Linked DNA regions of Rattus norvegicus. The protein of the gene in region 1 purifies or fractionates together with the protein of each later gene. This does not show direct contact. Links are inferred from orthologs where the notes say so. Each region holds a gene or a part of one and is shown on either strand. Other genes may lie near its edges.

Evidence for each region.
Region 2: the proteins of Smad3 (region 1) and Kat2b purify together in Homo sapiens (affinity purification with western blotting, with the first as the bait; 3 studies listed by BioGRID). This does not show direct contact. The link is inferred for Rattus norvegicus from reciprocal best matches to the Homo sapiens genes SMAD3 and KAT2B.
Region 3: the proteins of Smad3 (region 1) and Runx2 purify together in Homo sapiens (affinity purification with western blotting; 3 studies listed by BioGRID). This does not show direct contact. The link is inferred for Rattus norvegicus from reciprocal best matches to the Homo sapiens genes SMAD3 and RUNX2.
Region 4: the proteins of Smad3 (region 1) and Smurf1 purify together in Homo sapiens (affinity purification with western blotting; 3 studies listed by BioGRID). This does not show direct contact. The link is inferred for Rattus norvegicus from reciprocal best matches to the Homo sapiens genes SMAD3 and SMURF1.
Region 5: the proteins of Smad3 (region 1) and Skil purify together in Homo sapiens (affinity purification with western blotting; 6 studies listed by BioGRID). This does not show direct contact. The link is inferred for Rattus norvegicus from reciprocal best matches to the Homo sapiens genes SMAD3 and SKIL.
Region 6: the proteins of Smad3 (region 1) and Hif1a purify together in Homo sapiens (affinity purification with western blotting; 4 studies listed by BioGRID and IntAct, with this or other methods). This does not show direct contact. The link is inferred for Rattus norvegicus from reciprocal best matches to the Homo sapiens genes SMAD3 and HIF1A.
Region 7: the proteins of Smad3 (region 1) and Runx3 purify together in Homo sapiens (affinity purification with western blotting; 3 studies listed by BioGRID). This does not show direct contact. The link is inferred for Rattus norvegicus from reciprocal best matches to the Homo sapiens genes SMAD3 and RUNX3.

Annotation. Positions count from the first base shown.
Region 1 is NC_086026.1:73,129,525-73,133,539, forward strand, and holds the start of Smad3 (mothers against decapentaplegic homolog 3), read right to left. Parts: upstream 2,801-4,015; 5' UTR 2,599-2,800; coding exon 2,393-2,598; intron 1-2,392. UniProt on the Homo sapiens protein: Receptor-regulated SMAD (R-SMAD) that is an intracellular signal transducer and transcriptional modulator activated by TGF-beta (transforming growth factor) and activin type 1 receptor kinases.
Region 2 is NC_086027.1:6,893,145-6,896,644, forward strand, and holds part of Kat2b (histone acetyltransferase KAT2B), read left to right. Parts: intron 1-1,899; coding exon 1,900-2,014; intron 2,015-3,500. UniProt on the Homo sapiens protein: Functions as a histone acetyltransferase (HAT) to promote transcriptional activation. Has significant histone acetyltransferase activity with core histones (H3 and H4), and also with nucleosome core particles.
Region 3 is NC_086027.1:23,741,558-23,745,057, reverse strand, and holds part of Runx2 (runt-related transcription factor 2), read right to left. Parts: intron 3,293-3,500; exon of another isoform or gene 2,213-3,292; intron 1,819-2,212; exon of another isoform or gene 1,794-1,818; coding exon of another isoform or gene 1,778-1,793; coding exon 1,389-1,777; intron 1-1,388. UniProt on the Homo sapiens protein: Transcription factor involved in osteoblastic differentiation and skeletal morphogenesis. Essential for the maturation of osteoblasts and both intramembranous and endochondral ossification.
Region 4 is NC_086030.1:14,747,702-14,751,842, reverse strand, and holds the start of Smurf1 (E3 ubiquitin-protein ligase SMURF1), read right to left. Parts: upstream 2,801-4,141; 5' UTR 2,779-2,800; coding exon 2,724-2,778; intron 1,075-2,723; exon of another isoform or gene 1-1,074. UniProt on the Homo sapiens protein: E3 ubiquitin-protein ligase that acts as a negative regulator of BMP signaling pathway. Mediates ubiquitination and degradation of SMAD1 and SMAD5, 2 receptor-regulated SMADs specific for the BMP pathway.
Region 5 is NC_086020.1:114,183,073-114,186,572, forward strand, and holds part of Skil (ski-like protein), read right to left. Parts: coding exon 3,415-3,500; intron 1,734-3,414; coding exon 1,501-1,733; intron 1-1,500. UniProt on the Homo sapiens protein: May have regulatory role in cell division or differentiation in response to extracellular signals.
Region 6 is NC_086024.1:98,394,398-98,397,897, forward strand, and holds part of Hif1a (hypoxia-inducible factor 1-alpha), read left to right. Parts: exon of another isoform or gene 1-287; coding exon 288-394; exon of another isoform or gene 395-1,555; coding exon 1,556-1,703; exon of another isoform or gene 1,704-3,073; intron 3,074-3,372; coding exon 3,373-3,500.
Region 7 is NC_086023.1:152,676,359-152,680,445, reverse strand, and holds the start of Runx3 (runt-related transcription factor 3), read right to left. Parts: upstream 2,801-4,087; 5' UTR 2,584-2,800; coding exon 2,299-2,583; intron 137-2,298; coding exon 1-136. UniProt on the Homo sapiens protein: Forms the heterodimeric complex core-binding factor (CBF) with CBFB.

The DNA.
Region 1 (4,015 bases):
AGCAGGAAGCCAACTAGTCGCCTCCCCAAGACGTGGCCTTTAGCTTTCTGCCCATGGCCAAAACAGCAGCAGCTGTTGCCAAGGGAGACAGGGTGACCCAGAGGCGTGGGCACAAAATCCAGGGATGGAAATCCACCTTTGTCTGGATCCACCCAAGCAACTGGGTCTCACTAGTTGAGAAAAGATGAAAGAAAAGAATCCCAGGCCTGGGAGGGTAGGTCAGCAGCAGAGGGCTTGCCTAACATGCAGGAAGCCCTGGGTTCGGTCATCGGTTGCAGCCAAAGAGCCAACGAATGAACACCCCGCTTCCTTACCTGGCCTCCTAGGCCCAGGCTGAAGGTACCCAGTCCTAGGAGGCTGGGAGCACAGGCATTAGCCTGAACTCTCAGTACCACACTAACTTTTACCTGCCGGTGAGGAAGGCACAGCCTCTCCTCCAAGCTGCCCCCAGCCCAAAGATTAACCAAGAGCCTTGCAGGCAGAAGAGATCTACTACCCACCCCGGACAAAACAACCTGGGAGAAAGGGTACGCCAGATCTAGTCGAATGCTTTGCCTCTCTAAGTTCTGTCACTTTGAAAGCAAGATCGTTCTAGACCTCCGTGCCTTTTCTGTGTCCCGGTTCTGTTGTCCTCCAGGCACGTTCGTGCCTTGTAAATTGTGAAACACTCTGCAGCTTCGTAGTTGATAGCTCTGGAGGAGGGCTCAGAACAGAAAGCGCTTGGGCTGGGTGCACCCAGGCAGATTGGGAAAAGGCTGCGTCTCCAGATCTGACAGAGCCCTATGAAACTCAACCATCCTGCTCCATCGAAACGATAAAGGAGAAGGGGAAACCGGAGAAAACCACCACATCACACCAGGTCCCCTGAAGCCGGCTGGCAGAGGCTCAGAGGCCGAGCAGACAACACACAGCCTTCCCTCTTCAGTAGGATCCACCCACTCAGGTTTGGAGTTGATAAGACTTTTATTTTTGTTTGGTTTCTTTTTTTTTTTTTAAGTCGGCATTCCCACCATATGTGGTGTTTATTTCCAAGGAAGGCCAACCCTAGGTCCCTGTGGACAGACATTGTTTTGTGCCTTACTATCAGGGCTGGCAGCCCATACACAGCTGCCTTGAGCAGGTGGCCAAGGATGGAAGCTACCAGGACCCAGAACAGTGATGACCTCTACTAGTGTAGGTCCTGGGAGCCCTCCCCCCATCCCTCTGCAGCCAGGGACGTCCCCAAACATTCCCACCTGCCCCTCATCTGGAATCAGTCTTTAAAGGTGTCTGAGAAGGAAAAAACAAAACAAAACCAGAAGACTAAAGTGCTCTCACCCCATTGCCCAGACGCGACTATGCTCTAGAAGGCCTTGGGAGCGAAGTCACTGACCCCTTCCATCAGCCATCTGTGAGCTCCCGCCCGACTCCTCTAGCCCGATGGGAAGGATAAAGGAGGTCAGGACAGATGGCAAAGCGCTTTGGGAAAAGAGGCTCTACAGGAATGCAGGGCCGATGGGAGGCCAGCCCTAGGGTGTTTTGTTATCTGCCTGGAGCTGCCTGCTCGATTCTAGGCACCAGAATACCCTGGATTTAAAAGATCGCAAACCAGCAGGGGTGGGGTGGGAAGAGGGAAAGCCCCTACTTTCTGCCACTTGTTTCTCCCGCTTCAAAGTCGGTGCTCTGCTCTCTAACTAAGTGCGTGCGTGCATGCGTGCACAGGGGGCGGGAGGCTGGCACAACCAAATCTAAAAATACTCAGTAAAAATGCTAATCCCAAGGCAAAGAAAGAGCGAAGAAGGAATCTGTCAATCAACGGGCTCCCGCTCCTCACCCACAGCTGTACCGACTGCATTCCTGTAGACGAGGAAAAGAAATGGGGGAACAGAGCTGAAGAAAAGAAAGGGACACACGCCACCACCTCCAGGAGCCCGGGGCGGGAGGCGGCGGAGGAGGAGGGGCTCGGCCGGCAGAGCCGAACAAAGCGGGGCCTCCACTTGGAGCCCGAAGCCCCGAGAGTTAGGGGGCCAAGCTCAGAAGCATCCCCGCTGCCCAGAGGCAGCTGGCGATCGTTAAGGTCTAGAAGCCAAAATGCCGCACGGAAGCCTGGGCTCTGAGCCTGGACAAATCCGAAGGTTTTGTTTGGGGTCCCTCCACCCACTCTCCGTCCCCTACAGGCGCGCGCGAACACACACACATACACACACACACACACACACACACACACACACACACACACACACACACCCTCCCACCCTCCCTCCTTATCCAACACACACACACACACACACACACACACACACACACACACACACACACACACACCCTCCCACCCTCCCTCCTTATCCAACCGGGCCGCGCTAGGGGGCTGGGCCGGCGCGTCCCCCCACCCCTCGCCGCTCTGGGACCCCACCTGGGGATGGTAATGCACTTGGTGTTCACGTTCTGCGTGGTGATGGCCTTCTCCAGCTCGTCCAACTGCCCCGTCTTCTTGAGCTTCTTCACCAAGCTCTTGACCGCCTTCTCGCACCACTTCTCCTCCTGCCCGTTCTGCTCGCCCTTCTTCCAGCCCAGCAGGCGCTTCACGATCGGGGGGGTGAAGGGCAGGATGGACGACATGGCTGGCACGGAAGGGTCACCGGCGCCCCCGGCGGGGCTGGACGCACTGGGGACGCCGGGGGCGCACAGAGGCAGCTCGGCCTGCGCCGCGCCCGAACTTCGCTTTTAACTCTGGAGAACTTGCCCAGGCGTCCCGGCCAGGATAGCGGCACTGCAGTTGCGGGGATCCGGAACACGGCGGCGCCCGAGCGGCTCCACGCGGACCGACGGACTGACGGACAGGCCCGGGACGCGCGGGGCGGAGGCGGCGGCCGCGAGACTCCGAGTGCCAGTAGAAAGTTTGGGTTTCCGCACGGGGTAGCTGTTTGGGTGCCGCCTCCGAGAAGGAAAGTCCAACCCCCAGCCAAACTTTGCTGGCCTGGATGGCTTTGGTGCGCAGATCCCTCCGCCTCTGCAGCGCTGCTGCTCCTCCCCCTGCGATCGCCGCCTTGCAGGACCGGCCAGGGCCGTGCAGCCGTGCTCCCCGCTCCTCTCCCGCCCGCTCCCAAGTCTACGTTTCACGCAGCTCCGCGTGCAGCCTCCTTCCCAACGCAGTCGCCGCCCCCTCGCTGCCGGGGCTCCCCGCTCCTCCCCCGCGCCCTGCTCCGGGGAGGACCCGCGGCCTTCCCCGCCCAGCTCCGCCAAGCGCGCCCACGTGGGCCACCGGGCACGGCGGCCGTCAGCTCTGCCAAGTGCCGCGGGACCCGACTCCTGGGGACTCGCTGCCCCCAAGACGTTCAGATGTAGTTGCAAGGACTAGAGAGGATTAGACTCGCAGGGAACAGGCACGGTCCGCCAAGGGCTGGCTGCACCTGGGAGAGGACCCGGGCGCGGCGAGGGGTTCAGAAAAAGCTCGGGGCCCAGGAAGTTGAGGCGCGCTGATCTCGCTCAGTGGCCGGGGCTGCTTTAGGTGTTTTTTGTTTTGTTTTTGTTTTCCTGCTGGGTGAGATCAGAACGGCTGACTGCCTGAGACTACTGAGGAGGGAGTTGGAAAACGGGAGAGGGAGACTTAAAAGGGGAGTTACGAGACCTCAGTGACAACTTGAACAATAGCTGGAGCCAGGGGTCCTTTGGGACCAGTGAACCAAGCTCTTTACAGAAAAGGAGCCTCAAAGACATCTGTTGCGTTCCTGAAGGAATGAATGCGGGCGCTTTAGGATTTTTCTTTGGGGGAGGGGGAGAATTAACATTACAGGGTGTTACTGAAGATCCGAAATTCAACACCAAACAAGTAAGAGAGCTTTTGTTTACAAATCAGTGAACTCGCGCGCGCGAGCACACACACAAAGTATAGAGCAAGCCTGGAGGACTTAGGAAGTTTATTCAAAGTTAGCCTAGGTGGGAAGCCAAGAGAACCTGACTTGGGGTAGCTCTAGGGCTTTACCGCAGACTGGGCGAATGCAGGGCTGGTTACCCACCGGTCCCTCTACTGATTTGA
Region 2 (3,500 bases), on another chromosome or scaffold:
AGCTATTTCATATGGCTAGATTTTTTTCATTTTTTTTTAAAAAGGCATGTCTTTCTCTTCTCCTCTTTTCTGTTCCTCTTGGCTCCCCCCTTTCTCTTTTACCCTTTTTGTCTCTGGTCTTTTCGCACACACACCATTGAATGGAAGAGTGTTTGGAGTATTAACCTAGCTTTTTTGCCCCCACACATATACAAAGTATCTTGCTCATATCTACCTTCTGCTCCTCCCCCCAGCATCAATATATCATCCATATGACTCCCAACTTTATATCTTAAAAAATAACCCCTGAATCACTAATTCTAGTTAGTGCCGCCCACGAACACCCATGCATGGGGTCATCCACTGAGGCGCTGACAACCTATCAATGGCCACACTTACAAAGAAAAGTGACTCTCCCTCTGAAGCCATCAGTTCCATTAGCTTCTTGTCTAAGGGGGTGGCATCTGGCATTCTTACCCTCTCAGTGAGGCAAGTTGTAACACTCGTGCAGGTGATGAGTCACTGCTGCTGTGTGTTCATGTGCGTACGTTTTGTGTCAGTGGTCTGTGTCCTGAGCAGCCTTCCCTTCACAACATTCCTCCTGCCTTCATCTTCTCCATGCCCTCTCATCTTTGATGGTCTCTGAGCCTTTGGGGTTGTACCCTCACAGCCTTATTCTCAGTGTTGTGAACTAGATTGTTTTTTTTTTTTTTCCCCTTTTCTTTTTTTCGGAGCTGGGGACTGAACCCAGGGCCTTGCGCTTGAACCCAGGGCAAGCGCTCTACCACTGAGCTAAATCCCCAACCCCGTGAACTAGATTGTTAAAAGAGAGCTGCAACCATGCCACAATAAAAGAAGTATTTTCTTGTAGAAACAGGCTAAGCATCTCTTGTCCAAAATGCTCCTGAACCGAGTATTTTAGAATCTGTTTTTTTTCCTTCTTCAATATTTTTATTGACTTACTGATAGAGCATTTTTAATGAGAAAATCCAAAATCGTCTAAAATGTGAGACTCCACTTGTGGAGAGCCCATTGAGTACGGAATGAGTGATGCACACTGAGAATTCTTTTAGTCCAGGAATGAATGCTTGATCCAAATCAGCTGAAGGTGGAGAGAGCCATCTCTACAGGTGCGATAGCTTCATAGAATACCTGTGTGTGTGCACTGGGGTGATGATGAACAAAGATCAGGTCCGTGTCCAGCACAGAATAAGAAGGACACAGAGTGGACAGGACCATGTAGAAAGAGTGGGAGAAAAGGTGATAGGCAGGGAGGCGCATGGCTGCCTGTGTGCATGCCTGTGAATAGGTTGTTGTGGAGTGTGATTCTTATATCTCAGTCCATATGTGAGGCAAGAGGCTGGGCCTAGAGGGGCCCCTGCTAACCTCTCTAACCGGCCCCATTCCTTCTTCTCTCTGATGGTTTTTTCCTTAGTGGCAAGGGGCTGGGTGAATGTTACTAGATGGGCATGGTATTTAAAAAATACTTCTTTTAAAAGATATATTTAAACTTTGTGTATTGTATTGATTTATGTGGGATGTGTAGGTGTACACGCACGCGCACGCACATGCACACGCACATGCACACGCACATGCATATGCACGCATGTACCACCTATGTGAAGGCACTCACATACCTATGTATGTGTGAAGGCCAGATAACAACTTCCTGGGGATGGTGCTCTCCTTTCACTATGTGGGGTCCCAGGGATTGAACTCTCAGGCCTTTGGACTTGGTGGTAGTCCTCTGGCCTCACAACCCTTTTGTCTCTTACCTGCTAGTGTGTACTCTGCCTTCCTTCCCTTTTCGTCCTATTGAAATATGTACAGCACCAGGCACACCGTCTTTGGTTTATCTGACTTGTCCTGGTCTGTGCTGTGGCTTCTTTGACTAATCACACTTTCCCCCATGTTTTTCAGATCATTAAAAAGCTTATTGAAAGGAAACAAGCTCAGATACGAAAAGTCTACCCTGGACTTTCATGTTTCAAAGATGGAGTTCGGCAGATTCCTATAGAAAGCATTCCTGGAATCAGTATGTATAAGACACTATTTTTTTTTTTTTTTAAAGAAAAAGCAAACTTTCCTGTTGCTCCTGTGAGATGTTTGAAGTGATTTCCAGAGTGCAGCCATTTGAAAAGCTTTCGCCTGTCTCCTTTTCCATGTGTGGTGTCTCTGGTCTTTGAAGTGGGCAGCAAGCTGGTTGTGGAGGAGCTCCCCTGTGATCCCAGCACTGGGAGACTCAGGCAGGAGGATGTAGTGTGGAGGCTGAGACAAGAGAGAGACATTATCTGGGGCAGGGGCAGGGGCAGGGGCAGGGACTGGGGCTGGGGCTGGGGCTGGGGAAGTCAATCATAAAGAGTTTCTGATGTCCTTTTCTTCCTAACTCAACCCAGACAGTGTACCTTTAAAAAAAGTTATTAATATCCATACTTTATTCAGTCTGGCACTTGCACACCACGCTTAGCAACAGGAATATGTACTAAGTAGCGTGGATTTTTATATTTACAAATAGAGGAACTGCTCTTCAAATGGTTGTAAAATTATCACGCAGAAGGTCAGAACAGGAAGTAACCCGTTCTGCTCTCCAAATGGCCTGCTGTGGACAACCTGCCTTGGTGGCACTGTGGCCTGCATGAACACATTGCCTGACTTCTCTTCTTCCGCCCTCTCCAAGAGTGACGGGGGTCACATCAGTTGTTTCACGTTTTTATTTCACAGTAGCTTTCTTAAGAATTCTTTTGTATTCCCGAAAATTGAACTATATTGGGTTGTACAGAATGACCAGGGTTTGTAGATTAGGAGCTATTGTTTGGCAATCTTATTTGCTTTGAATCTAAGTTCTTACAATGACTCAGCACTTCCCTGCCTCCAGCGGACACACACAGACAACTCAAATTTTCTAGAAAAGAGAGGATGCCTGTTTCACTGCATCTGCCCTACCTCAGAGCTCTCGATGCCGACCCTCAGGTCTCATGTCCCTGTGTAGTCACTGTTAATGACTGAGTAATTGCTCCATTGTTCAATGCCTAGTGGTGCCAGATATTTTTCTGTTTTTATTTTATTTGTTCCTGATTTATTACTTTTTCCTCTTTTGTCAAATATTTGGACTTTTTTTTAATTATTATTAATATCAACTAATGTCACAAGGGCTAACCACACCTAGTTTCTGTAGTTCTACTGTGTAGGTAGGTAAACCGAGAGAGGGATAAAGCGACATTTTAGGGGTAAGGGAAGAAGTCAAATCCAGATGCCCTAGATACCAGGTCTCTGAAAACCAGATGTGCATTGCAAGCAGGGGCTTGGCCGAAGAAAACAGCGAGCAGAATATTGTCCTGAGTTAAAATAATAGCCGTGCTTTTGTGCAGGGCAATTGAAGACACTGGGCTTCAGTTTAAAAGAGTAGTACTGTTTTCTTCTTTCCCTTTCTTCTTTCTCTTGAAGAGCTGAAGTTCTTGCCTTAGTAGACACTAACTAGCTGAGACAGAAGCTCAGGGATACAGTCCTTGCCTCAGTGGTGG
Region 3 (3,500 bases), on another chromosome or scaffold:
CCGGTGTCCGAGATGAAGGAATTGGCACAATTCCGCCTTTTTTTTCTCCTTTCCTCTCTCTCTCCCTTTCTTTCTTTCTAGATCATTCTTAACCTGCTCTACACAGATGCTGGGTCCCAGGCTCACCCACTAAAACTGGATGTACCCATGGATTCATTTCTCTTGCTGGCTCCCAAACTCCATCCCTAGCGTCTGGACCAGCGAGAGTGGACAGTCACCCATCCACCACAGTCTGTTCTGGGGGGGAGGGGGCTTGGAAGGGTGCTTCACACCACCACCACCATCTCTCATGGCGCCGGAACCCCAAACTGCATCACAGATATGACCAGAGACTGGGGACCCGCACACTTTCAACCTGTCCGCAGCTGCGCGTGACTCCCACCGCTATGGGTGCTGGCAAGCTAACGGACTCGGCGGAGGAGGCCGCGGGAGCGCACCTTGGAGCCCAGGCCTCCGGCGGGAGCCACCCACCGACCTCCCCAAGAAGGGACATCTGGGGGTTCTGGCTCCTTCAAGGCAAATAAAGTTTTCACCTCTGTTTCATTCTGACCAACCGAAGTTCCACCACAGGATTCCTCCCAGGAGGAGTGAGGCGGGAGGAGGCAGCCTGAGCCTTGATCCCCTTCCCCGATGCTCACTCCCTTTCCCGCACTCAGAGATCCAGCGCCCCGAGCCCCCGCAGCTGCCGGGCCTCGATAGAAGCCGAGACCCCGGCGGCCCCGCCTTCCTCCAAGTAACGGGAACTGGAGCCGGCCAAGGAGGGCGCGAATGTCCCCGTCCGTCCCCGCTCTCCCGCGTTCATCCCAAGTTTACTGAGCACCCTCAACCTACGCGCCAAGGCTGGCTGGCACCTCATTCCGCCCCAGACACAAGCGCCCTCGGGTACCGGCACCCTGCGGGCATCCGGGCCAAGCCCGGGAGCAGCTGGGACTGCCAAACGGCACCCAATCCGGGAAAGGGACGCCTAGCTCGGGGTAGCGGCCTGCGGCTGCGGGGAAAGGAGCGCACGGGATCCCGGAGAAAGGAAGCCGGGATGTCCGGGAGGAGTGCGGGGACCCCGGGGTGAAGGGGGCTGGAGGAAGTTTGCAACTCACAGCGGGCACCTCGGGGCGTCTGGGGCCCCAGCAGGGAAAGAGGCAAGAACCATGCCTGGGAGACGTGAAGAGTGAACGAGCAAGGGAACCTAGGCTGAGATGGTAGTGGGCGCACAGGTGAGAAGGGGGATCTGCTCGCGGTGACCGCTGCGGGGTAAGAAGATCAGGGCCACCTCGGTCCTCTGAGTGGGGCCACCAAGGTTAGAGTCTTGGAGGGCACCCACGGGCACCGAGACCACAGCGCGGAAGATTCCACCGGGCCTGGCCAGGGGTTGGGGGTAACCAGTCTCTTACCTTGAAGGCCACGGGCAGGGTCTTGTTGCACCGCCAGTGCGAGGGCAGCACGGAGCACAGGAAGTTGGGGCTGTCGGTGCGGACCAGTTCGGCCGGGTGGTCCGCGATGATCTCCACCATGGTGCGGTTGTCGTGCGGCGGCCTCAACCGGGGCACGGCTGCCGCCGCTGCTGCCGCCGCCGCTGCCGCTGCTGCTGCTGCGGCCGCCTCCTGCTGCTGCTGCTGCTGCTGTTGCTGCTGCTGCTGCTGCTGTTGCTGCTGTTGCTGCTGCTGCTGCTGCTGCTGCTGCTGCTGCTGCTGCTGAGCAGCCACTACCGGGCTCACGTCGCTCATCTTGCCGGGCTGCAGGCTGCTGGAGGGGGGGCTGAAGCGCCGGCTGGTGCTCGGATCTACGGGAATACGCATCACAACAGCCACAAGTTAGCGAAGTGGCCGGGGGAGGGGGAGGAGGGTGGAAATGGGGGGCGAGGTGGAGGAAATCGAGGGGGTGGAGGCGAGACGGGGGCGGGAGGGGGGAGGAAGAGGATGGAGGTGACGGGACAGAAGAGGTGAGAAAATCAAGTTCGAGAAAGCCGAGTGCCGGCGGAGTCAGCTGGGGGCCGGCGGCTGGCGACCCCGTACAGTCGGGTGGCGGGTGGGGACACCCGAGCGGGGCCGATCTCCACCGGGAGGCTTGGGAGCCCCCGGCGGTGGCAGCAGCGAGCGGGACTCGGGGGCGTGTTTGTCCCAGCCGAGGCAAGGGACTTGAAGTTAGCAGCATGCAGTTGTGGGGCCCCTCGGGGCACCGTGTCCTAGGTGCGCTGACGACCCACTCCCGGTTCCAGTTCCGTAGTGGAGCCCGGCAGGTTCAGCAGTCCATCTCGGCGGCGCGTGTGACCCTTCGCTGTCCGCCACCGCCAAGCCGAGCGTGGCTGTCCAGCTCGCGGCGCCGTCGCCTGCCGGCGCCTCCTTCTCCTCCTCCGAGGCCGCTGCGCGCTCCCCTCGCTGCCTGCGCGCTCCGAGTCCTCCGGCCGCCGAGTCCTTCCTTGCCCCGTTTCTCTCTCCCTCTCACTCGCCTCCGTCTACCTCGCAGCCCGGTCCCTCCAGCTCTTTGCCAAGTGCCCCGGGCCCCCCTGGCGTTTCAAGGTGCCCGGAGGTAAGTGGGGGGTGGGGGGGAGCGGATCTCGGGGCGACAGATCTGGAGCCTGCGGATCGCAGCCGCTGCCGCCGCCCGCCGGCCGCCAGAAGCGCCGGCACGCTGCGCTCGGCGCCCGAAGTTGGAAGGAGGCGGTCCCCGCCTAGGACATCGCCGCCTGCGTCCTCCGCTCCCCCTTCACCCCCAGGACCAAGAACCTCTTCTCGATCTGACTACGATGAAGCTGAGAAGCTAGAGAGTCTCAGGCTGCTCCTGCTGACGTTAATTTTTCGTTATAACTTCAGGAGTGGAGGAAGGAAAATTCTCAAGTGTCCGAGTTGACTTCTGAGCACTCTTCACCCTTCCCCCCCAACCCCACCCCACATTGGCTGGGGCGGGGGGGGGGGGAAGGTTTTTACAGACTTCGGGGGTGGTTTTTCCCCCCTTAGGTGACATCAGAAAAGGGTGACAGGAGGGCATGTCAAAATAGTTTTAGAAACTCTAACGGATGTCTGGACATTTTTATTATACAGTCCTTCTTGTCATTACTGGAGAATAAGGATGGGTTGCTTTTTTTTTTTTAAGAAATAAAAAAAAGACAGCTTGGTAATTAAAATAAGTTGTAAGTTGCAAAAACGCTTGCTGAGAAAGGGGAAATACACAGCGGTTATCCATTAATTTTCCAATCTTTTATTAAGTCCAGTCTTCGTCTCAGACTAAGTCTAGTGTCTTAAACTGTCTTCCTCGCCGCTCCCCACTTTGGAGGAATAAAAGTAAAAGGTAAAAAATGGTTCAGTAATTATTTATTTATGTATTTGTTTCCCGGCGTTTTGGGGGTAGGCGATTTTGGAATCCCCAAAAGGTTGTGGTTGAGAGATGAAGGGGTGTGGGGGGAAAAAAGCAGCAGTTTTTACCTAAAATGTGGTTTTTGGAGGCTGGGATTTCTAATGATTAGGTTTTTGTGGTTTATATAGACACGACCCAAGCTAAGGCGATCA
Region 4 (4,141 bases), on another chromosome or scaffold:
CCTCAGGAAACAGTTCCTATGAGATACCACAAAGACAGTCATTAGAATCATACGATTCAAATGCAGAAATTGAAACATTATTTTCTACTGCACAGAGCAGCTTTCCAAAGCACTTTGGCATATTACTCAACAACTAAAAAGGGGTCCAGGGAGTTGGTCCATGGGAAGAAAAATCCTACCATCACACCAGCTGCTCTCAGACCATGAGTTAGTAACACCTATCCCTAGTCCTTCCCCATCAAAGTCACCTAAAACTCTGATACTTTCCAAGTCTTCAATACCAAAATTAACCCCTGAAGCCTCCCTTTTATCGGCTGACCAGGATCGGTTTATAGATACCTGCCACAAACTCCACAATTAAGATTTCTAAGCCACTGATCTCATTTCTACTAAAACTCCCCATGTCAGTCACTATACCAGGAAGACAGAAACCAACCTGGACTGTAACTAAAACCAGAGCCCAGTGTCAAAGAGCAGACTTTCACAAGGATGGGTGTCAAAGAACCTAACTTCCTAACTACCACAGAAACACTCGAAGGCATCCACTGAGCAGGTCTCCTCCAGAGCAAGTCTCCAGGGACAAAGATGTCCAATATGACCAGAGTCTGGGTTCTAGGTCAAAAGTTGTTATCTACTCTGACATCTTCAGAGAAAAAGTGTCAATCTTTTCTTAAACAGAGCAAACTTTCCAAGAATTCCCACCATGATCAAAAGCCTTACCCCCAGGCTCGGCCAGAAAGGGCAAACAGAGAGCCTTGGGCTAACCACACTGCTTTGGAACCGAAAAATCCAGGGAATCCCTGCAAGGCCTCAGACTTTAAAGATGTGTTTCCTCTTCTGAGCTGGAAAGCCCCAAGGCAGGCCCTCTGCCCGCCAACCCTGCCATGCAGCCTTAGGGATGGACTCAAACTGGTAAGGTCTGCAGGTAGAGAGAGGGAGTAAGGAAGGAGAAGCTGAAGGCAGTGGACTGGACTCTGGACCAGCGAAGAGGGGCAGCTATGACAGAGAGCTCGCCTCTCACCTGCATGCAAACTAAACGACCCTGATGATGTCAGACCCACCGCCAAGCTTGGCGCTCACCTTTGAAGGTGCATTACAGAGCGCCTAGGAAACCTCCACATTCCTCTGAAGACTCAGGGGAGCAAGGAGTCTGCACTAGAGCAGCCACCACAGCTCAGCTTGTGTGGGAGGGGATTCAAGGATGTGGCAAGGAGGTGAAGGCGTTGCAGAGGAGGTAGGAACCAGACTCAGACTCTGCAGAACTGAGTGGCCTGGCCTCAGGGAGAACGGAAGTGGACTAGACTGGAGAGGCCTGGACCACTGATGAAGTGGGGGAAGTGAGAACAAGACAGGCGTTTGGTCCCAGACAGGATTGAGGAATTTGCGACTGAAGGGTGGAGGCTGGAAGACAGAAGCGAGTGGGAGGGACTGAAAGATAAGTGAAGGCGGGATCAGGCAGGGACGAGGGCGGGGCTGGGAAGGGGAGGACAGTAGAGGGGGCGGAGCCAAGGGAGGAGAGGGAAGCTAGAGAGATGGGAGATGAGGAGGGGGTGAGGAGGTAGGAGAGCAAAGAGAAGCAAAGCAGACGAGTAGGGGGTAGGGTGCTTCGAAGGTACCAGGAGGGAGAAGTGAGAAGGCAGACAACAGGTCATGGGAGAGGGTGGGAAGAAAGAAAGGAGGGGAAGTGATGAGAAGCCAGCCGCAAGGGAAGCAGGAAGGGGACAGGTGGGAGGGTAGTGAGGGATGGCACTAGAGGGGGACGGCAGGTAGGAGGATGGGTGTGAGAGAAGAGATGGATGATGGATATGTGAGGTGGGGGTGGGAGAGAGCAAAAGGAGGTGCAGCGAGGGGGCGGGATCTACATGAAATTGAAAGTAGGTGTGTGCTTGAAGGAGCGAGGTACAATGCCAGGAGAAGAGCAGGAAGGGAGGAGCACTAGGAGACCGGGGGAGCGCCCCGAGGGGCGGTACCTATATGCAGCTGAGGGTAGGTGTGGGGCAGAAAGGAGAGCCAGGAGATGATCCTGTAGAGGAGGAGCTAGGGGGCGGGATGTGATCCAGAGGGTAAGGTTAGGGGCAGAGGAAGGTAGCTAGGGGGCGTGGCCCATATGCAATTGATGATAGATGTGGGCAGAGGGAGTGGGGAGGGGATAGGAGAGAACCTGACGAGGGAGGAGCCAGAGGCGGGGTAAGAGAATCAGCCAGAGGGGTGGAATCCATGATAGAGGGATGAACAGCAAGCCAGGCTTAATGCAGAAAAAGCCAACTGCCTGGGCCTGCAGAGCAAGCAGGGGGCGGGGAATGATGCAGAGGGAGGAGCCATAGGGCGGGGCAACAAAGCGACAAAGTAATCAAAGGGTGGAGCCTGCGAGGGGGAGGGAGCGGGAGTCTGCAGAAGAGTCCAGGGCTGAGCCTAATTAAGGAAGGGGGCGAGTCTGCAGATCAGCGAGGCGTGGCTTGATGCAGAAGGAGGGCGGGGCTGCCGCAGCGGGGCGTGTCCTGATGTGACGGGGCGGGGCCTGATGCAGAGGGAGGGGACCGGGCGGCAGGGGCGGCGCCTGCAGAGCACCCGGGGGGCGGGGCCGGGAGCGCGAGCGAGGGGCGCACGCCGTAGGGGGTGCAGCGGTCCCGGGACAACGGCCGGTGCCGAAGGGGCGGGGCGGGAGTCCGCAGGGTCCCCGGGACCGCCTTGGGGCGCGAGGGCCGCGGCCCTGTCGTGCCTACCTGTCAGACGGATCTTGATGCTGGAGCCGTTCCTACGGGTCCCGGGGTTCGACATCTCCCGCCAGCGGCCGGCCGGCCTCGGATCCAGTGCCGCCGCCCCCCAGCCCGGCCCGGCCCGGCCCCGCCGCCGCCTCAAGGTTACGGCCACGGGCTGGGCGCCGGGGTCCGAGCCGGGACGCCGAGTGCGCGGCGCAGGCGTCGGGACGGAGACCACGGGCTGGAACCGTAGAACTGAGCGCTCAGCCGCGCTGCCGCCCGGAGCCGCTCCTGGCTGGCCCAGCCCGGAGCCGCCGCGCTCGCAGCCGGACGCCCGCCGCCCTCGCTGCTTCCGCCGCCGCCTCCCGAGCTGCGCGCGCCCGCCGCCGTGCCGGCCCGGCCCTGCGCGGCCTCGCGCTTGCGTGCGTGCGCGCGCCCGAGCACGGCGCTACGCCGGCCGCGCTTGTCCTGGGCGCGCGCAAAGGGGTCTAGGGAGCTGCAAGGTTCCTGCAGCCGGCGGGGAGCCTTGAAACTGACACCACCGCCACCACCACCCCTCACACATAGACATGTACACACAAGCGGCGCCGTCCGAGCTGGTTCTTAGTCACAAACTCAGAACCGACTGATTCACTTATGCGACGATTTTCGGAATCGATTGTTTCTTCAGTGTCGGACTTTTCGAGGCTCCTGATGGAAGTCGGGGTGTTGCATGAAGCCCCAAGAACGGTGCGCGCACGCGCGCATGGGCACGCGTTATCGTTCTTGAAGAAAAAGCGTTTAGATCCTGCAAGTTCCAAGGGAAGACTTCCCGCAATGATGGAGTGTCGGGTGTGCCCTGTGCAACTGGTGTATTCGATTGACAAAGTGGCTAGACTCACAGGAAGTGCGGCATATGGACCAGCTAAACAAGATGAAGGATGTAAATGGAGAGGTGGTGGTTTTGTGGTTAGGGACCTGCATACAATTGAACTAACCCAGAAAAGTAAGCAGTCGGGTTTGCGATTCCCTGCCTTCCGATGAACCCACCCCCAAGCCCCCAGAATGTTAGGCAGGTAAAAAGTAAAAGCCTTGCTTTCCCCAGCAAGCAAACCAATCTCTATGGTAACACATTCTAGAGAGGAAATAAAAAGGCCGCGTATATTTACAAAACTCACATCTGACACGAACCTAATTTATTTCATAGGCAGATTCTTGTAGTGGCTTTATGTGGCTTCCTTAGAACGAGCTACCCACAACATTTGACCACTCTCTTTGGAGACAGGGGCTCGTCTGTAGCTAAGGCTGACCTGAAAACTGTGATGTCCCTACTCAGCTTCCTGAGTTCAGGTATTACATAGGCTTGTACCTGTCCCTGTCCTAGGCAGTTTGGTTTTTATGAACCTGTGCAGCCCAGACCTTTGAATAATGGTGGGAAACTAAGAATAGGATCGTGTATGGGC
Region 5 (3,500 bases), on another chromosome or scaffold:
CATCAGCAGTTACACAGCCCAATACACTCTACCACTAAACGCATACGAACAAGAACTGAAAGTGTATGTCCACACTAAAACTTGCATGCCAGTTGGCAGTATTCTTCATAATAACTACATAGGGGACACAATGCAAAATATCTACTAACTGAAGAGGGGTTCAACAAAACCTGCATAAGCGCAGGAAAACATTAAGTTCTTTTCTTAAAAGAAATTGTTCCTACTAGAAACACAGTAGAGAAAAACATGCCTAGTAAAACCAGACCTCAAAACCACACACTGTCCTTCTTTTTATCTAAACTGTCCAGAATAGGCACATCCATAGAGACCACAGAGGGTCAAGGAGCTAAAGTCACCCATCGGGTCACTGCCACAGGATGACAGGGATCTATCTGTACAGGAGCCATGACAATGCTCTGGGACTAAACAGCTGGGATACTTTTCACGACATGGTGGTTACACTAGAGACAAACAGATTGTATGCTTTGAACTTCTATGGTAGGCCAAACTACCTCACTTTGTTTTTTTAATTTAGTTTCTGTTAGTTGTGTTTTGCCTGTGTGTATGTTGTATATCATGTGTACTTATATGTGGTACCAGCAGTGGTCAGAAGAAGAAATCAGGTCCCATGGAACTAGAGTTACAGGTGAGTTGTGAGCCACCATGTGGGGGCTTAGGAATCAAACCCAGGTCCTCACAAAGAGCAACAAGTGCTCCTAACCACTGAGCTAGCGCTCTAGTCCCTCACATTACTTCTTAATCATTAAAGAAAGTTAATTAGAAACCAAACAGAATGCAAGTGTTATATTACTATCATAGTTCAATTCAGAAGAAACTGAATCACAGCAATAATAATTCAAATACAGGAAGCTGTCACACTGTATGCAGACAGGACTGCCAGACGGACACCCGAGGGATGCTAAATACTTCAGCTGCATGGCACTGAGCATGGCTAAGCTGCAATGCGCCATGGAACAGGGCTGTATCTTCATGCACACCTTCCCTATGGTCTACGCATTTTAGAAGGCATAGGAAACAGGCAGGCTTTCTCCAAGGTATCAGCCAGGATCTACACCGATGTCATCTATCTGTCCCAACTTTGCTTTACTATATAAGCAGTCCCATTCTATACCTCCTGAACCACAAATCCAATGCAGATATATTTAACATCAGGTAAGTGGTATCTCTGTTTACAGAAGAAAAAACAGCGAAGATAAGGGATTCTACCAACAAGAAGGGGAAGGAAAAAGGGAGGTGACAATGTCACTGCATGGGAGCTAGTCGTCCTTTCTCATCATCCTCCACAGGCTGCCACATTCTAGAAAGCTCGCAATTGAGGTGCAAAGAAACCATCCTGAGTTTTCAAAGTTAGAACTGTTTTAAAGTAAAAGTTGTGGTTACAGAAGGGGAAATTACCTTAAATACAAAAAGCCTTTAAAATACTGAGCAAATGTGTTTCTTAACTATCTGATTTGAAAAACATAACTTCTGAATACTTACCTAAACAACTGTATAATTCTCTACTGGTTTTTAAATCCATTTTCTCCTGCTCCTCAAGTGAGACGTCTGGGTAAGACACTGTCTTTTGGCGCTTACTACTATCATGAGGCTTTTCTGACTGTTTGGAGATGGACTTACTTGTCTCTGCCTTGGTGACCGCTTTAGACTGGGACGCAGCAGAGGCGAGCGACACATTCGGTGCAACCACTTTGTCACACATGTACAAGTAGTAGCTGAGACAGAGGGAAAACAAAGCACACATTACATCACACTAAGTGTGCATTAGGATGTGACACCCACCACTCTACACCCTCAGGGCTACCAGAATAACCAAGATAAAACACAAAGAATCCAGGCCATGGAAAAGACTTCTCAGAAAAGAAAGTCCGTACTTAAGACAGCAAAACTGAGGGATTTTGCTATTTTGAGAGTAACTTCAAAACCCTAAAAAATAAATAAATAAAATTAGAAAACAAAAGTGAGTCTCTTCCTCTTTCCTTAAGACCACCTGACAATTAAAAAGGATGGAAGCCCAAGCCTGACACCTCACATCTGTAGCCCAGGCCTGCCTCCTGCGCTCTACTACTTTCTCAACACACGAGTAACTACGGATGCCAACTCCTGGGCTTCTCAGCAGCTCTGTTGGTGAGGCCCCAGGACCTTACACACCTCAGCGAGAGCACAGGAGTACTGCCCAACTGCCCCACAATCCTTGCAACAAAATCCATAGAACAGTCTCTTAAAATTATGAATGAAGCAGCAATAACAGACACTACAAACCTAAACTAAAAGGACAACACTGATTTTTCTCCAAGTTCACGTAACTGTGAGCTTGAGTCATCTACGAGTCTTACATAACAAATTTGAGACACTTTACAGAGTTTGATCTGTAATTTAGAATCTAAGTAACCTTCCAAGAGGAGAAACGGTCCCTTATCTAACCCTGCCCTACACTTTCATCTCCTTTTACATCTCAATTTCTTTTTTCTAATTCTTCCCCTCCCTCCATTCCCTCCAGTCTCTCCCTGACTTCCCCCCAGATCCACTCCTCCATTTTTCTTTAAGGGGGAGAGGAGCGCAGACCGCCCAGGGATACCAACTGAACATGCCCAGCCTCACACAAGGCTGGACAAGGCGACTCAATAGAAGGAAAGGGCCCCAAGCACAGACAGAAGAATCAGATGTCCCACTTTCTCTCTGCAGGATGCCTGTGTTACTACTCTTTATCTCTAGGTCCGAACACTTGGTATTCTAATTAAAAATTAAACAAACCCTTACGGATTTAATATCGCCTAGAAGACTTAATAAGAAACTGTATGATAGTGATTTGTGCACATCTGTGAATTTTAAGGTTCAGACTGAACTAGGATTTTTATTGAAATACAAACTCTTGATTTTGAAAGATGTGGTTATAAAATTTCCAAGTTTCAACCATTTGTTTTTAAAATTACTATGTGGGGTACACACTTTTAATCTCAACATTCAGGAGGCAGAGGCAGGTAGACAGACCTCTGTGAGTTTGAGGCCAACCTGGGCTACATAAGGAGGCCAGCCAGGGTTACCTAATGAGAACTGGTTTCAAAAAATAAAAATAAAACAAAAAGCAAAGTAACACATTCATCTCTTGAGATAAAATAAATTGATTCAATTTCTACTTCAAGATTGAAATTTTATATACACCCACACAAAAGATGCATTCAATCCCAATGTTCTTGCCTAAAACAACTCTGAATTAGCATTAGCTAACAAGGAAAACCTAAAGGTAAGCGACTTAAGTCTTAATTCCTAGAACTGTAGGAAGACAGCTGTTAATAAACAGATAAACAAACCAACTAAGAATCAACCAGTCAGGGAAGGGGTGGGAAAAACAAACAAACAAGCACACAACCACTAGGCAAGCTCAGGCTCACTCACCTGGGGTGTAAAAATGAATGGGTCTGAGGACCGTGGTCACCTTCCTGTTTTATAACAGGATACCATGGTGGCAATTCCATTCCCGA
Region 6 (3,500 bases), on another chromosome or scaffold:
TGCTTGAGATTTAAACTTTATTTGAAGCTAATTGTGAACTGTCTTTGGAACTTTTGTCATTTAATTTGCATTATCAGTATTTATTAATATCTTGCTTCCACAACTATAGTATGTATAATAAGTTTTTTTAAGACAGGTCATTATTTCGGGTAAAAGGGATAAGAGTCAAATATCAAGGATGGATCTAAATGACACAGAGAGGCTGGCTATTATACTAAGTATAGAATTGTTACAGGTGCGTTTCAAACTTATTAAGTGAAGAAGAATATTGTTTTGTTTTGTAACAGGATTACTGAGTTGATGGGTTATGAGCCAGAAGAACTTTTGGGCCGTTCAATTTATGAATATTATCATGCTTTGGACTCTGATCATCTGACCAAAACTCATCATGACAGTAAGTACAATAGAAGAACTCAAGGAGGTAGTCGCACTGCTTTAAGCCCTGCAGTCTCTACTGTTGTATCTCTAACTTTCTAGTTAAAATTGCTACCCAGTCTCCAGATTCTTCCTAAGACATCTTGATCATGAAATTACTGTTTTGTTACAGCCATTCACTTAATAATACATAAAGCTTCCCTAGAATTTTAAAAACAGAACTAAATAAAAGTCAAATATGATAGATTATCTCCATACACATATTGTGAAATCGATGGCTGGTCAATAGAAGGTAGTCAGAGCATGTGTTCCGTGAATCAGTGAGTGGAATGAGTATTACACACATGTAATTAATATCTGACACTCTTGACATATGCTAAGTTTCTGGGGTTTTTCTCAGATGAAGTCTAAGATCCCAAAGTAAGTTAAAGTTCATAATTTCTCACTGGCCTGTTTAATCTGGACCTAAAAAACTTTCAGATTGAATATCACTGAATTAGTGTGATTTGCCCAAACTGTAGTCAGAGCATAGGTACTCACGATAGCATTATTATGGCTGATTTACTGCATTCTCCTCAGTCAGGAATCAATTTAGACTGCACGAATTGCTGGAAGACTACAGTATGATAACAGCTTATACATTCAAATTTCTGTAGAATAGTTTCTTCTCTGCTGCTTGAGGAAATAGTTGTACCATTTTCTTGAATGAGCTTGTGCCTAGTCTCTAGTCTGACTGTAACCATACATCATTAAAGGAACCGCAGCCACTCTGTCCCTCACTTCTGACTTTCTTCTTTTTCAGTAAGGTAGGAGTTTTACTTTGAGGTTTATTTTCAGTTGTGTTTGGGCTTCTCTGTGAGCTTAAACAGTCACACTATTTTAAATAATAAAAGATATTATTTAAATATCTCTCCTTTTAAAAATAAAACAGTGATCCAGCCAATCATGGTAGCACATACCATTACCCTTACCTACCCCAAAACCCCTGCACTGGAAAGACAGAGGCAGGTGGTTCTCTGTGAATTCGAGGCCAGCCTAGTCTATATAGGGAGTTAAGGACAGCCAGGGCTACACAGAGAAATCCTGTCTTTAAATAAAACAAAATGTAACAATCTACACTTGACACTTATTTGATGGAAAATTCAGTTACATTTTCTTTGTGGTACTTTCTTATCCCTAGTGTTTACTAAAGGACAAGTCACCACAGGACAGTACAGGATGCTTGCAAAAAGAGGTGGATATGTCTGGGTTGAGACTCAAGCAACTGTTATATATAATACGAAGAACTCTCAGCCACAGTGCATTGTGTGTGTGAATTATGTTGTAAGGTAAGCTTGGAAAGAGACACTTTTGTGAGAGAAAGTGGTAACTCTTTGGATTTACTGTGCCTTTATTAAGAAGATAGAAAATTGGCAGGCAGTGGTAGTACACATTTTTAATCGCAGCACTTGGAAGGCAGAGGCAGGTGGATCTCCATAAATTCAAGATCAATCTGGCCAATAGAGTGAGTTTCAGGACAGCCAAGGCTACAAAGAAAAACCCTGTCTTGAAAAGAAAAATAAATAAAAACTTTTGTTTTTATCTTTTTCTACTGCATTATGAGCTATATCCTGACCCATCTTCTCAAGCCAGCTGTTCCAGTGATCCCACAAAATAATATCATTCGTTTATCAGTCTATGGATCAATTTTCCTAGTTCAGTTTCCCAAGAAGGTTAAATGACCATCTTTGTGACAGGCTGTATAATGTGACCTGGGACTTTATTCTTTGTTTATGAACTCTTAAGTTATTTCAGGTCAATTCCTCTTCATTACCGAAACATTTTCATCTGCTGGCCAGACAGAGCGCTCTCCTGTGGTTAGTCATTTTCTTACGTTCCATACTCTTTACCCTGTCTCACTGAGTAGGCTTGACTGGCCTGGAACTCGCTGTAAACCAGTCCAGCCTTGAGTTCATAGCTTACCTACTCTGTGGGATTGCAGGGCTGCACCAGAAGTTTCCAGCACAACTTTCATAGATGCCACCAAATCCAAGTTACCCCACTTTGGCCATTTAGGGGGGCATCTTAAAACTTGTAGTTTTTGTTGTTGTTTCTTTCAGGGGGATATTTAGTGCTAGGATCAAACTTAATAATGCCTTACCACTTCTAATCACAAAGAGTTCTCTTGTGATTTTTGCCTTTATGTAAAATTATTTTTCTTATCTCCCTCATGATTGTTACTGATCCCAAGTTTTGCTTATTAGCCTTTCTGTGAAACATCCTTTCTTCATTGTAGTAGTGATCACAGGATATTGAAACTGTTTATCTGTTTCCCATTGAATTATAAACTGCTTGAAGACAGTGTTTTATGCGTTCATCTTTGTGCTCAGCCTCATTTCATACATTGAACATTAATATGCTAACTGGAGGACCTTGATGCAGACATGAAGCTGAGTGGACTTTTCATCATTTCTCTTTCTTCTTTCCTATCCTGTGAATGACATCCCCATATTATTTCCACCAAGAAAACATGATCCCCCTCATTAAGACTGGAGCCATTATGGTATTCTAAGATTATCTGTAGACGTGCCTTACGTATTCATGCTGAACAGTTATTTTGTGCCTCTTTCATTGTAGCATCAGGACAGAAGTCCTCTCTGCTTGTATCCTCCACGTACTTTAACTGTAGATGTTCTCGTCATCGCCTCTATTCTCAATGCTGTTTCAATTTAAATAAGTTGAATATTTTAATTAGTAAATTTCGTTTGTTTTTATCTTCATATTGGTGTTTTAAAACAATAAATATTTCTCAATAGTAGAATACTTGCCTAGCATGAACAAAGTCTTAGGCTCAATCCTCAGTACTGGGGGAAAAAAGAAATGTTGCAAGTATGCATGAAAGATGATTCATCTCGAGGAATGTTAAAATGCTTTTACTATATAAATCATATTTTATAGTCCCCCTACTGTCATTGTTTCAAGTGCTCTTTATAAATACTAATCTCTCTTTTTTGACAGTGGTATTATTCAGCACGACTTGATTTTCTCCCTTCAACAAACAGAATCTGTCCTCAAACCAGTTGAATCTTCAGATATGAAAATGACCCAGCTGTTCACTAAAGTGGAATCTGAGGACACGAGCTGCC
Region 7 (4,087 bases), on another chromosome or scaffold:
AGCGGAGGTCGTTGAACCGGGCCACTTGGTTCTTCATGACAGCGGAAGCGTTGCGCAGCTCGGCGGAGTAATTCTCGTCATTGCCCGCCATCACGGTCACCACCGTTCCATCAGGAACATCCCCCAGTGCCACCACCTGAGGAAAGAGGACTGCTTAGGAAGGCTAAAAGGAGGGGCTCACGCAGCTGCCTGCCTGAGTCCCAGGCTCGCTGAGGAGTTCTGAGTCGGGGGTGGTAGAGGCTTAATGGTGTGTAGATCCGTTCCCAACACAACCAAACCCAAAATGATGAACTTTCTAACCCCCATACCCAAATCTTGGATCCAGTGACTGATGAGAGCCCCAAGAAGGCACCCGTTTTTATTAAATTAAGTCTAAGACAGAGCTGTCAATCAGCAAGGTCACAGGTAAGGGTGGGGCGGCAAGGAGGCTACACTGCTCTCCGCCAAAGAATCGGCAACCGTAATAACGGGGCTAACCCTTGCAATCAGTTAAAGCATTGGCCCTTTGGGGTACGAAATATGGTCCTGCAGTGTGACCAAGGCCCAGTTAGATGGCCTCAGCGGAGCCTGGATTCGTTCTGCAGAGAAAATGCAAAATGCAAACCAAACTGCTGCTTTGCAAGTTGATCTAGAAAACCTGGGGCCAGAGGCCGGGTGGTTTCGATAACTGAGCTTGTACCTGCTGGGAACTGTTGGATGGGTGGGCGGAGATGTCCCTTAAATGTCATCTCTCCCCCCTCCTTCCCACCCAAGGCGCATCAAGAGGCAGATGCTTTTTGAACCAGACTTTAAACAGAGTCACAGCCATTTAAACGTGGCTGCCGTGTGCAGGGACTGGAGATCCAGATGGTAAAGATTTCAAGGAGAAAATGTTTGGGGTCTGATTAAAAAGGCCAGATTTCCTGTCAACATCCTGTCTTCTTTTAATTTCAAAGATTCCTTTTAAGCTCCAAGTGACAGTAAAACCTCCGATCTGACGATTACAGTCACACGGGTCTCCTCCCCCCTCCTCCCCTCCTCCCCGGGAGATTTCCCCCGCTGGTATTTTAAGATGTCACCCGGGAGACCTCAAAGAGTCACTAGTCTTTTTTTCCCCCCTTTTCCAATTTGAAGTCTTAATGGGAGCAAGGAGGACCTCAGCTGCCAGCAGCCGGCGTTTCCAGCCGCTTCGGGCATCACTACCTCCCCAGTCGCTGTCCTTCCTACTCTGTCCTTTCTCACGGCAGCTGCGAGAGGTTTAGGGGAAAACCAAGGCGTTTTCGTTTCATCTGGCTGCCCCCCTTAACAAAAAGAAAAGAAAAAGAAAGAAAGAAGAAAACGAAACAGTTGCCTATCCCTGGTATAGTTGAAAAAATAAATTCTCTGAAGGACTCCGGGCAAACAGGATGGAGGCGCTCCCCAAGGCTCTGCCTATCATTAGGGATGCAGAAGGTCGGAGGCAGCCCTTTAAGACCGGCCTACGGCCGCCCTGTGCAAAATTTCAGCCGGCGACGTTGAGAGTGTGGGAAGGAAGTGTTTCTGCAGCAGAGCAGGAGGCTCGGCGCCTGCCGCTGGGTAGGCCAGGCCCTCCTCGCCCTCTGCACCCTACACCTCCCGGGTCCTCGCCCAGCTCTGGCGGTCCTCATCCCGGTTACGGGTTAGGCTGTGCCAAAGAATCTGGAAGTCCCAGCCCGCCGGTTTCCATGCACTGTGCAGGGCCCTGCGAAGGCCAGGTGGAGCGGGATATAGCCCCGTCAAGCTGTCAGTGCAACCGAGAAGGAGCGCCCCAAATCTCCGTGTCCTGCGGGCAGCGAGGCCGCGGTGCACCGTTCTCAGCGCGGGGTTCCGGGTACTGGCTCCTGTAGTGGGAGCGGCGGGAGTACCCCCCACGCCCAGTTCTCCTGGACGCCCTTCTGGTATCTCTCCTGACTGATGTCACCATATTTCTCTCTGGACCCGGGCTCAGGCAGCGGGGACACCCAGGTTCCTTTCATGTTCTGCCGGGCCTGGGCTCCTGCAGCGTGGGTGACCAGGCACTCCTGTGTTCTGCTAGCCGAGTGATCCCCTTTCCTCCCACCCCAGTACCTCCCGTATTCTCTGAGTCTTGCGGGGTCGCCTGGAGTTCAGCGGGGGGTCCTTCCGGGAGTGGGATCCTGCAGTAGGGGCGCCCGGGTACACCACGCCGGTGTCTTGCCAGCTGGGTGACATCCCCTTCCTTGTCCTAGCAGCTAGGTCTCCCCAAGTCCTCCCTTGTCTGGGCTCCTGCATTGGGGGCGCCCAGGTTCTCTCGTGTCCTCCCGGCTCGGCCCCTGCACTCACCTTGAAGGCGACCGGCAGCGTCTTGTTGCAGCGCCAGTGCGAGGGCAGCACGGAGCAGAGGAAGTTGGGGCTGTCGGTGCGCACGAGCTCTCCCGCGTGGTCGGCCAGCACGTCCACCATCGAGCGCACTTCGGGCCGGGTGCGGCCGCCGGGGCCCGCGGCCGCCTGCGCGCTCAGCGCGCCGCTGTTCTCGCCCATCTTGCCGCCGCCGCCGCCGCCGCAGGGGAAGGCCGTGGAGGGGGGAGTGAAGCGGCGGCTGGTGCTCGGGTCTACGGGAATACGCATGCCGCGGCCGTCAGGGCGCGGGCGGCCGCAGCCGCGGGAAGCGGGAGGCGGGAAGGCGGCGGCTCGGGGCCCGGCCAGCGCGGGGGAGGGGCGTCGCCGGGAAGGGGGACGCCCCGACGGTCGGCCGCGCGCCCGCTAGTCCCGCATCCCGCGCGCGCGGCCGCCCCACCGACTCAGCGGCCGCGGCCCCAGCCTGGATCCTAGAGAATCAAGTGGCGGCGCCGCGGCCGCCCGCGCGGGGTTAGTACCCGGGGCCTCGGGGCGGGGCCGTGCGAGCGACGCGGGGCGCAGCCAATCGCAGCCCCCAAGCTCGGGGTTCGCCGTGGAGGACCGGGTGGCTCGGGCCCGCGCGAGCCAAGCAGGGGCCAGGCTCCTCCCTGGAGGGTCTAGACACCCGGGTCCCGGGAGCCGCGCGGAAGCCGCGGTCCCCTGGAGTCAGGAGCAGCCGCTGCGACCTGGGCAAAAATCGGTTTCCAGCCTCCTGGGTGCGCCTCGGTTCCCCTCCCTCGAGTCGCAGCCTGGCTGCTTCAACTCTAAGTCACCGCAGCCCGGAACCTGCACCCTCAGCTGGTCACCGCGGTGACACCCAAAGACTGGTTCCTCACTCCCTCCACTCCACAAACGATTTTGACCCTAGAGTTTCCACCCCACGAAGGATTCCACAGCTCTGCGGGGCCTTGGCCCTCGCCTCTGTGGCCTCTGTGTCAACCTTCGAGGCAGACAGAATGGGGGTTGTCACACGGACCAGCAGTGGGATGGGGACAACCACCCTGTTCCTGCCCACTCAAAACTGGTTTCAGGATCGCGCAGGCCTAGTGGAGCTGTTCTCTGTCGAGGCAGCGCGTGGCTCTTTGAAAAACACAACAGGGCCTACAACGGTGTGCATTTTGGAGTCATGTCACCCCACCACACACGCACGCAGTATACCGTCCGGTGTAGTGGAAGTGGATGCGGGTCTGTGACAGAAAGAAAACTGTCGATGACTTAGCGAGCAGCCGGACCGCTTTCTCCCCGTGGATAGAAAGGGGTCCTCCCAGGGCCGAGCCATCATCTTCTCAGCCTTAGTCCGCTGAGTCCACAGCGCTGTCAAGTGCCCTGTGGGAATTCGACCCTGGGGTCTCCATTGTTATTCTGCCTGGTGGCCCAGCCCCTCCTGGGGGGGAAATGACAGCAAATCTTCCCTGTCCCGTCTCCTAAGCCTGGCATGGGTGTACATACAGCTAAAGGGCCCACAGTCACTGAGGGCCGCCCTCACTCCGCGCGCTCCTCCCTGGACAGCTGCAACGAACGCACATGTTTCCCTCGGTGCTTTGGAAATTCGACTGCATTTTCGTTGGCAGTGGCGGTGGACCTGTCTACAACGACCAATTTCAAGACCCAGAAGCGACACAATCTGGGACCCGACTGGGAAAGCGTCGAGACCTCAGCCTGGCTCTGACCTCAGCCCAGCACACTCCATTTTGTCAAAAAACGAAATCAGGCCCTGCGTGCATGATGGCGGGGT